Linked DNA regions of Oryzias latipes. The protein of the gene in region 1 purifies or fractionates together with the protein of each later gene. This does not show direct contact. Links are inferred from orthologs where the notes say so. Each region holds a gene or a part of one and is shown on either strand. Other genes may lie near its edges. The genes, in order: tdp1 and xrcc1.

Region 1 (4,282 bases):
CTTCCAGAGCCATTTCAGAGCATCGGGGTTCAGCTGCAGCAGCACTCAGCCTCCATCAAGAGAAGAACAGCTGTATCACTGATGATGGAGAACAGCAGCTGCATGGAGCTGAGGTTGTGTTTACACCTGACCAGCTTTAGTAGAGGAGTAATGCATTGACTGGTTTCAGATGGATGTACAAACCTTTTCACAGCCAGTCACTTAAACATGGAGAGCTGGGCTTTTGACAGATAAATGGTTGTAAATTTACCTCAGCTTCTCTGTTCCTCCCATTCATTTTGCATGTAAACTTTTGCTTTTGTTAGGTTTGTTTCCTTTACAATATATTACCATATTTAAAAAAAAAAACAGAACTGCAGATTACAATGATATGAAACTAAATAACCATATTGAAATGTCCCCCTACCTTCCGGAGAGTCCTGTGACATCTTCCCAGTTTGGAGCAGTTCTGATCAGTGAACAGGGTCCATCAGAGCCCTGAAGACTAGACAGCAGAGGCATGTCACGGTCTTAAATGGGAAGATTCTGAGCATGCGTTGGAGGCAAGTCTCAAGCCCAGCCCCTTCGGCTACAGGCGCTCTCTGCATTATTGACTCAATGAAAACAAACAGTGCCTCACTTTTTCAATCGTATCAATTGCATTTATTTAAATGCCCAAATAGACTATTAGTACAGTAATTTTACTCATAAATCACGTCCTGTTTTAAAGGAAATAGTTTAAAAATGACAATTCAAAGATCAAATTACGTCCCTGAGAGTAAAAAAAAAAAACTAAAATAAACATATTACTGATAATCATAAAATTCTTTAATCAGACAGTCTCTCAGTGTTGCTTTCAAATTCAAAAGTTCACTCTTGGGGAATTTTTCATGTGGATATCTGAATAAAAAGTAAATATTTCTTGTAGGGCACTCATTTATTTAACTACTTATTAGTGTTTATTTTATTTTTCATAATTTATTTATTTTTACGATCAGAAACTACGGGGGGCGGAACTTCGTAATTCGCGAGTGTTTCTAGACGAAGGGGTTTGTGGGTGCAACTCAGTCACGCTGTTGTTTGTAGTGGATGTGCTGCAGAAAAGTTGTGATATCTATTCGCTGCATTAAATAGTCCCGCTGCTCTTTAACTGAATTGGGTAAAGCAAACACGACACGCATTTCAAAACGCTTCTTTAGTTCAACATACAACATTATTCGTTTTTTTTTATTAATCTATTTAACGCTAACAATGATTGCGCTTAATTTTGTAGCGTTATTTTTATTATCTTCGCTTTGTTTTCATGATATTCAGTTGATCTCTTGTGCAGGTTTGGGATGTTTGTACATTTATCAGACAGTCGGTTAACGTTTTAGCCCGTTTGCATGCATCAAAAATCTGATCATCATCTAGTTTCTGGAGTTATCTAACTAAAAAAGTGACAATGTTAGCAGAATAATATAAAATCGTGATTCACCACTCACATAAGATTTGTCCTTAATAAATCCGATTTCTTCCTGCATGATGTATTGGGTTTTCTTTTGTTCTCATGCGCGTGAGAATGTGGATTAAAAGATCTGTAACTGTGTTTGAAAGCATAAGTTTGTTTTAACTATGAGATGTTATAGTCCTATGTTTCTAAATACACTTTGGAAGAAATCTGATAAACACTGAAGTGACCAGTATTCAGATAAACAAAATGTGTGTAAACACATCCAGTCTGTTTATTGCAATTAATCAATATTAGATATTGATAGATATTGATTATTAATCAATATCTATCTATGTGGTCTTAAGTAAAACGGATGCATATTTTCTGTACTTTTTGTTGTAATATGAAGCCTAAAAAAACTAAATCATTTGCCAATAGCTTCCCTTCTTCCTCTTTCTGCTCTCTTTTCTTAGAGATGTCTCAGGACAGTCAACATGGCAAGTGGACCATCTCCAGTAGTGATGATGATGATGAGGAGGAAGATCTTCCTCTCTCTGGAACTACAACAACCCAGTCCCGTCTGCCAGCGGAATCCGGTGTCAGGTCCCCCTCTCCAGTCCAGGTGTCAGCTCCTGTGGAGGTAAAAGTAGAACCACTTTCTGCAGCAGCTCCACTCACACTGGGTTCTGAAGCAAGACGGTCGGCTGCAAAGAACCAGTTAAATCCGGTGAAGTGTGAGCGAAGCCCCTCGCTGGCGGGAAAGAGGAAGAGCGATGCCTCAGAGGGCACAGGCTGGGCCCTGTCGGACAGTGATGACGATGACAAAGATGTGAAGGACAACAGTCAGAGTCATTTGCCAAAGAAAGCACCTCCCAGCCCCAAAACAAAGAAACCAAAAGTGAAAGAAGAGCGTCCACCGAGCCCCCATGGACGACTCTACTATATCGACGAGCCGGAGGACTTCTTTGAATCCAACATTCCCTGTCTTAATGACACTTACAGGTTCTACCTCAACAAAGTCACAGGCTTGGACAAAAAGTACAACACGGGGGCGCTGCACATCAGGGGTGAGTTTGCATTTGTCTAGGATTAACTCCTCATCATTAGTAATACACATTCCATTACTGACGAGCTATTTATGGGAATTTTACGGGAATTTTTTTGTGTGCAGACATTCTCTCCCCCTTATTTGGAACCCTGAAAGAGTCGGTTCAGGTATGTCACTAGATTTATATCACAAATTTCCGCTCACTTCCACTGACTGAATTGTTTTCGATCAACTGGCCTTTAGGGAAAGACACTAAGAAACTGAAGTATCTTCTGTTTCAAGTGATCCTTTCTTTGTTTTTTTATAGTTTAACTACTGCTTTGACATTCCATGGATGGTTCAGCAATACCCACCGGAGTTTCGGTAAGTCTCACATCCACATTTTCATGACTCCAGTTGCTCTGCTGTTTCACAGCACTTCAGCTTCATGTCAAACAAAAGCAGGTTTTACTTGAGTGTAAGTAATCCAATAAAACACACGGGTAACTGTTGTTTGGTTTAAAGCTCAGTTTGTGTTTTCAGAGATCGTCCGGTTCTGATCGTACATGGAGATAAGAGGGAGGCGAAAGCACGGCTTCTCCAGCAGGCTCAAGCCTTTCCTCATGTTCGCTTCTGTCAGGTACGGGAAGCATTGACGCACAAAGCTGTTCTTTAACCCAAGGGCTGTCTCCAACTTCGAGGGCTGCATCCTCCAATGGCCGCGGCCTTCCCGGGCGATGTTGGCCGGGTCCTTCGTCGAGCGGGTGGGCCGGATGTTAACGGCTGTAAATTTGGACGAGTCTAGCCTCTGGATAATTCCAGCCGTTACATCAGCAAGTGTCCTGTCGCCTAGCAACCGTTAGTCACAAACAGGGAGGAGTAGTGAACCAGGCGTGGAGGTCAAAATTTTTCCTGGCTTATTTGATTCAACTTTTAATCTTGGAGGTGTAATTATGAAAAGGTTTCCAACTCCGGCTCCCTCTTCAAAGTCCGCCATTGTTGTCAGAAAATCTCCAGGTTCAGCCGCAATACCTCTTGGGATATGCACAGCATAAAAGGATACACCAGACCGATCCTAGAAATCGTTAAAAAAGAAGGCCGTATTTGTTGGCCGCATTTGAAGGAGTCGTTGAATTTGGATAGCACTTGTCGCGCCGCCGTGACGACGCCGACAAATGCAGGACGAATGCAGACCTCCAGTTTGGACACAGCCCAAATGGTTAGTTTCATTCCCCAACAGACCAGTTTCAGTACTTGTTCAATTCAGTAATAGTTTGAGGAAAACTGTTCCTACAGCAGAACCGCTGATTTTATTCCTCTTCTGTTTAAGATTCAATTATTATGATTTGAGTTGCTGTTTCTAAACAGGAAGTGGAATTCACATTTGACGCTCTTAAAATTTAAATGTATAATGTTTTCAGCTGCAGCTATAAAAACCCTTAAAATTATATAAATATTTATATTCTTTTTATAAGTTTGCATGTTTTGATCCGGTTATACCTACGTTGACTGATTAAAATGTGGTTTTAAGAGCTAATCAAATGGAATCTGTATTTCCTAAATGACTGCAGCAGATAATGTTTGTTCCATTAAATTCTTTGTCGACAGGCCAAACTGGACATCGCTTTTGGAACTCACCACACGTAAGTAAACCTCTGTTTTATTGACTTACATACTGTGTTAGTGTGTTTCTTATGGAGTTTTCTTTAAAATGTGCTTTAATAATCCAAATAAAATAGGCTTTAACATGCAACATTTTCTATCTGCATGACTTCTTGAGTGTTTTTTTAAACCAGGGCTGAAGGATTTATTCAAATGACAAAATATTATCATATAACTTAATA
Region 2 (4,309 bases), on another chromosome or scaffold:
TAAGTTACAGAGCTTCTTGTTGGCTGATTTTTTCAAGTAGATCTGAAAAGGATTCTGCCATTTAGTTCATTTCAATACCTTTAGGTGAAGTGCTCGACTTGTTTGCATTTTCTCGGTTAAAGAAGAGACTTCCGGGTTGCAGACTGGACCCAGATGAAGGCGACTCATCCTTTATTCTGAACTGTCCCAGCTTTGTCACTTTCTGAGCGGGAAACACAACGAAGGAAACAGAAGAAATAGGATGGTGGGACTCACAATTTGTGACAAAAAGTTCCAAAGTTGTTTGACAACACTCCCATGTTGGTTTTTCTGGATTCCCTCCAGATTTGTAATTAAAAAACCAAACACATTGCATCTACCACCTTGTGCAGTGGTTCCTCACTATATTGCAGTTCACCTGATGTTTTAATGCAGTTTGTATCCTTTTTTATTTGTTTTTTTAACAGCACATTGTCTTCTGCATCCTAATTGGCTGTATTCCCAAATCAACCTCTTCCATACTGTCTATCCTACACAGAAAGCATTCAGTTTGCCACATTTACATACATCCTCTATCACTAGCATATCTATGTTTTTATTCTCTAACAATGGATTAATGCTTTAATCAATGTTTGAATTTTAAGAGTTTAAACAAGAGAGAAAAGTGTGTTAAGTGTGCAGTTAAGGGGTTACATCTAAAATAGTTTTAAAAAAAAAGACTAACAAATGACACTAATCCAATAACATCACATTGCGTTTATTGAAATCAGAATAGTTTCAGTTTTTGCAAGATTTACATACATTTATAAAACTTAGATGTGATGAAGTGCATGAGTGCTGAGGTGCACCCACTAACACTTGAGATCTTACCATTTTCTTTATGAGAGCGTGTGTTAATAAGGCTAATTTAGTGTTTCCTAACTTTTAAATGGAAAATAAAATAGAAAAAAAAAAGTTAACAGTGGTTTACTTACAGGGGAGGAACTTGGAGGCTCATTTTTGTCAGGTGGAGAGTGGAACTTAACAAAGGCGATTCCATACGCTATGTTCTGTAAGGCACAAAAAAAAAGCTTTCATTTCGGTTAACGGTTAGTCATGAAGCTTCAACACCAAACATGAAGACTTTACTGTTTCCACAAACTGTATTTTGTTTGACAGCCCGGTAAGTTGCGTATATTTTCTTTAAGTTATAGATGTTTATCCCAACACTTTTGCTATTTTTGTTCTTAGTTACGTACACAAGAACTTTGAGTCAATTTAGAAGGAAATATCAACATTAGCTTTTTCTTCCCACTGCTTGTCAAGCAAATAATTAACCTCTTTGAGACAAACCTCACATTTAATGGATTTAATGTGTCATGTACTGTAAGACTGGCAGGTTCATTTCAGTTGGCTGAAGGTGAACCACAGCATGAACCATGTGTGCTGTGTGCACTAAACATATGATAACTTTACTCCCCCAAAGCACTTCAATAAATCCAATTGATCAAAATGACACTTTTATTAACGACAAGGAACAAAACAGATGATATGGAAATGTACCTCGAGCCGCAATTAATCATCCAAAGTTTGCTAAATCTATGTATAGATAGATATTGGTTTTTCTTTTTTTTTCGTGTATTTTTGGTTTAGATTGTTTGAAATAAGCCAAATCCGATTCTAAAAATGGAGATATTTGTTTATATAAATGGTCAAAATCCTCACCTTGTTGTATGGCTGGCTGCAAACAATTTTGACTCTGTCCCATTTCTCCTGAGCTGTGCTCTTCTGCAGCTGGTTGGGTCCAAAGAAACGCACGCGGTTCAGGTTAGATCCGTTACGACTTTCCGTTGGAGACATGAAGGAAGATGTGACGAGAAGAACCTGAAAGAGTTTTTGAAATTAGGGCACATCCTGTTAAGTAACAAAGAGTAAAGATGGGGGGGGGGGGGTATTTTTTGAAGAAATACCTCGTAGTCCTGAGTTTTAGGGGCTGAAGAGTTTGCCACCAGCACCTCAACAAAAGCGGATCCTTCATTTCCAATATCGATACTGTGCACCTGCTCCTCTTTCTCAAACTGAGAAAAGGAATAAGAGAAGGAATAAAATAAGTCAATTTTTTAAAAACATCCAACTTATGCCTGTATTTCAATCATTTTATCTATGGAATGAAGTGGAAAATCATTCAAATCAGCCAGTTTTGTTTTTTGTTTTAACAAACTAAGCTCACATCCGTAACTGAAATGCATTAACTTGAGTGTGAAAGCTAAATCAAACCTGCAGAATGACTGATGTCTGCTTCTCCCCGGCTCTCGCTGCTTTCCACTTTCTGTAGGTGTCTGAGCTCAGCAGGTTGTCCGCTTTGTGAGTCTGTTATATCACAACGAAGAGTGGGTTTAATAAAGCCATGAAGCCACAACTAACTGCTACACTAAAAAAAAAAAAAACACAGCAAACAACTTACATTGTCCTCGGAAGTGCAGGATACGACGTGTTTGAGTTTGATTTCTGGCATTTTGGTATTCCTGCTACTAGTGTTTTTAATCCAATAATCTATCTGTCACTAAGTGTGCCAACCGGGCGCTGTTGTGACTGTTTTAACCTGGCGAGAAAACACAAACGTTCAGCTTTTCGGAGTGACACTAAATAATGCATAGAAAAGTGTTAATTACTGATGTTTGACAGGAGCAACAAACTAACTAGCGAGAAAAAGCTAGCAGACTGAGAAAACTGAACTTTTTCGTGAACAGCCTGATCGTTTTAACAAACTGAAAGGCAAACGTGAATTAATATGTAGCTTCATGATTGACACGTACCCGTTAACTTGACGTTATATTAAACATCACAAAGACCACGGTAGGAATGGTTATTTTAAGGTAAACGTGTCTTATTGTTGCTCATTTTCCCACCAAAAGAGAGCAAATGTCTTCATCCAACGCAACTTCCGGGGGTAGATTACCATCCAATAGGCGCCTTTGTTTTCTTCTTTTACGATAAACTAATGGAACAATAGCGTTGTGTCGCCACCAAGTGGACGGAGGGAGCATAGGTTAAATGACAAATAGCTGAACTTTTACTAATAGTAATTTCAGTAATAATTTTAATAATGATGGGTCATATGAATAATAATATTGATAATGAAATAATAAAACAATAATAATATCAACAATGATGATGATAATAGTAATAATAATAATAATTTCAATATCTTTGGCATCCTTGTGGCAAGACCATTCTTCCACTTTCTCATATTTACACATATAAAGATATTACTATTTTACAGTAGTAAAAAAATATATTTTTATATTAAGAAGCAAAGTTATTTTTAAGTTAGAATATTCTAGCTCTGTTCACATAATCTTTCTACACAAGTAATGAGAAGGTTTGTTACCCAAACATGCATTATAAAGCTTCTTTTTTATTATTTTTTTCCCAAACTGCTTTTTTCCAAACTGTCTTCAGGTAATTTAGATTACCTGACTAAATGAGTTCTGATTTATGCATAATTTTAATCATGTTAACTCCAATTTGTAATTTAATTCATAATGCCTGTCATTGACTTTATTTATATATCTGACACCCCAGCAAAACAAAACCAACAGCAATATTAATCAATAAATATGTTGTTTTTAAGTAGCAAATACATCTATGTGCAGTTTCAATTTATGTTGATTTGTCGTTATGATAAGACAATAGTCTTTTATCGGTTATTTACTTCTTTTTTGGTTCGTGTTTTTTCTTTACATCAAGTTTTTCTTAATGTATGAAAAATCCTATCAGAGAAAAATAAAATCTGCCTTCTTTCCAACTTTCACACTTTTTACAATAATTTTCCATAATAGAAAGTCTTAAAACTTAGAGAATATTATAAAATAAAAACTAAACAACTGCTGCCCTGCGTCAGACTGGTGACGTCCAGGGTATAGTCCGCCTACCTCGCCCATGAGTGACTGGTGACCCCGAAAGGGACAAAAACGAGTTTAGAAGATAAATGAATGAAAAATGAATAAATAACCACTTATGTCTACAACCAAACTACATGAAAATCTGCAATTTAAAAAAACACACAAGTATTTATGTGTAAATAGAGAAGTAAATGAATGACAAAGACATAATTAATACACATTGTAAAGGTTCAGTGCCAGCCAGAAATATTTATCATATTTGTAGATATGTGTGTTTGTTGAGATTATATCACACAACACTTTTGCAATGGGTTTTTAACGTAGAAAAAGGGATAGGAGACAGTTTTCTTTTCATTTATTATTATGTTTGCATGATCACAGACTTACAAATAGTCAAAAGTAAGTTAAATGCACACTTATACCCTGAACGGATGGTCTTCAGTTAA

What was found.
Region 2: the proteins of tdp1 (region 1) and xrcc1 purify together in Homo sapiens (affinity purification with mass spectrometry; 4 studies listed by BioGRID and IntAct, with this or other methods). This does not show direct contact. The link is inferred for Oryzias latipes from reciprocal best matches to the Homo sapiens genes TDP1 and XRCC1.

Annotation. Positions count from the first base shown.
Region 1 is NC_019861.2:31,357,710-31,361,991, forward strand, and holds the start of tdp1 (tyrosyl-DNA phosphodiesterase 1), read left to right. Parts: upstream 1-1,216; 5' UTR 1,217-1,230; coding exon 1,231-1,309; intron 1,310-1,884; coding exon 1,885-2,478; intron 2,479-2,582; coding exon 2,583-2,626; intron 2,627-2,766; coding exon 2,767-2,822; intron 2,823-2,981; coding exon 2,982-3,078; intron 3,079-4,046; coding exon 4,047-4,081; intron 4,082-4,282. Other genes in the region: synaptotagmin-5-like, read right to left, coding at 407-428. UniProt on the Homo sapiens protein: DNA repair enzyme that can remove a variety of covalent adducts from DNA through hydrolysis of a 3'-phosphodiester bond, giving rise to DNA with a free 3' phosphate.
Region 2 is NC_019874.2:25,075,481-25,079,789, reverse strand, and holds the start of xrcc1 (DNA repair protein XRCC1), read right to left. Parts: upstream 2,921-4,309; 5' UTR 2,775-2,920; intron 2,561-2,774; 5' UTR 2,474-2,560; coding exon 2,423-2,473; intron 2,329-2,422; coding exon 2,236-2,328; intron 2,037-2,235; coding exon 1,929-2,036; intron 1,843-1,928; coding exon 1,684-1,842; intron 1,029-1,683; coding exon 954-1,028; intron 203-953; coding exon 79-202; intron 1-78. UniProt on the Homo sapiens protein: Scaffold protein involved in DNA single-strand break repair by mediating the assembly of DNA break repair protein complexes. Negatively regulates ADP-ribosyltransferase activity of PARP1 during base-excision repair in order to prevent excessive PARP1 activity.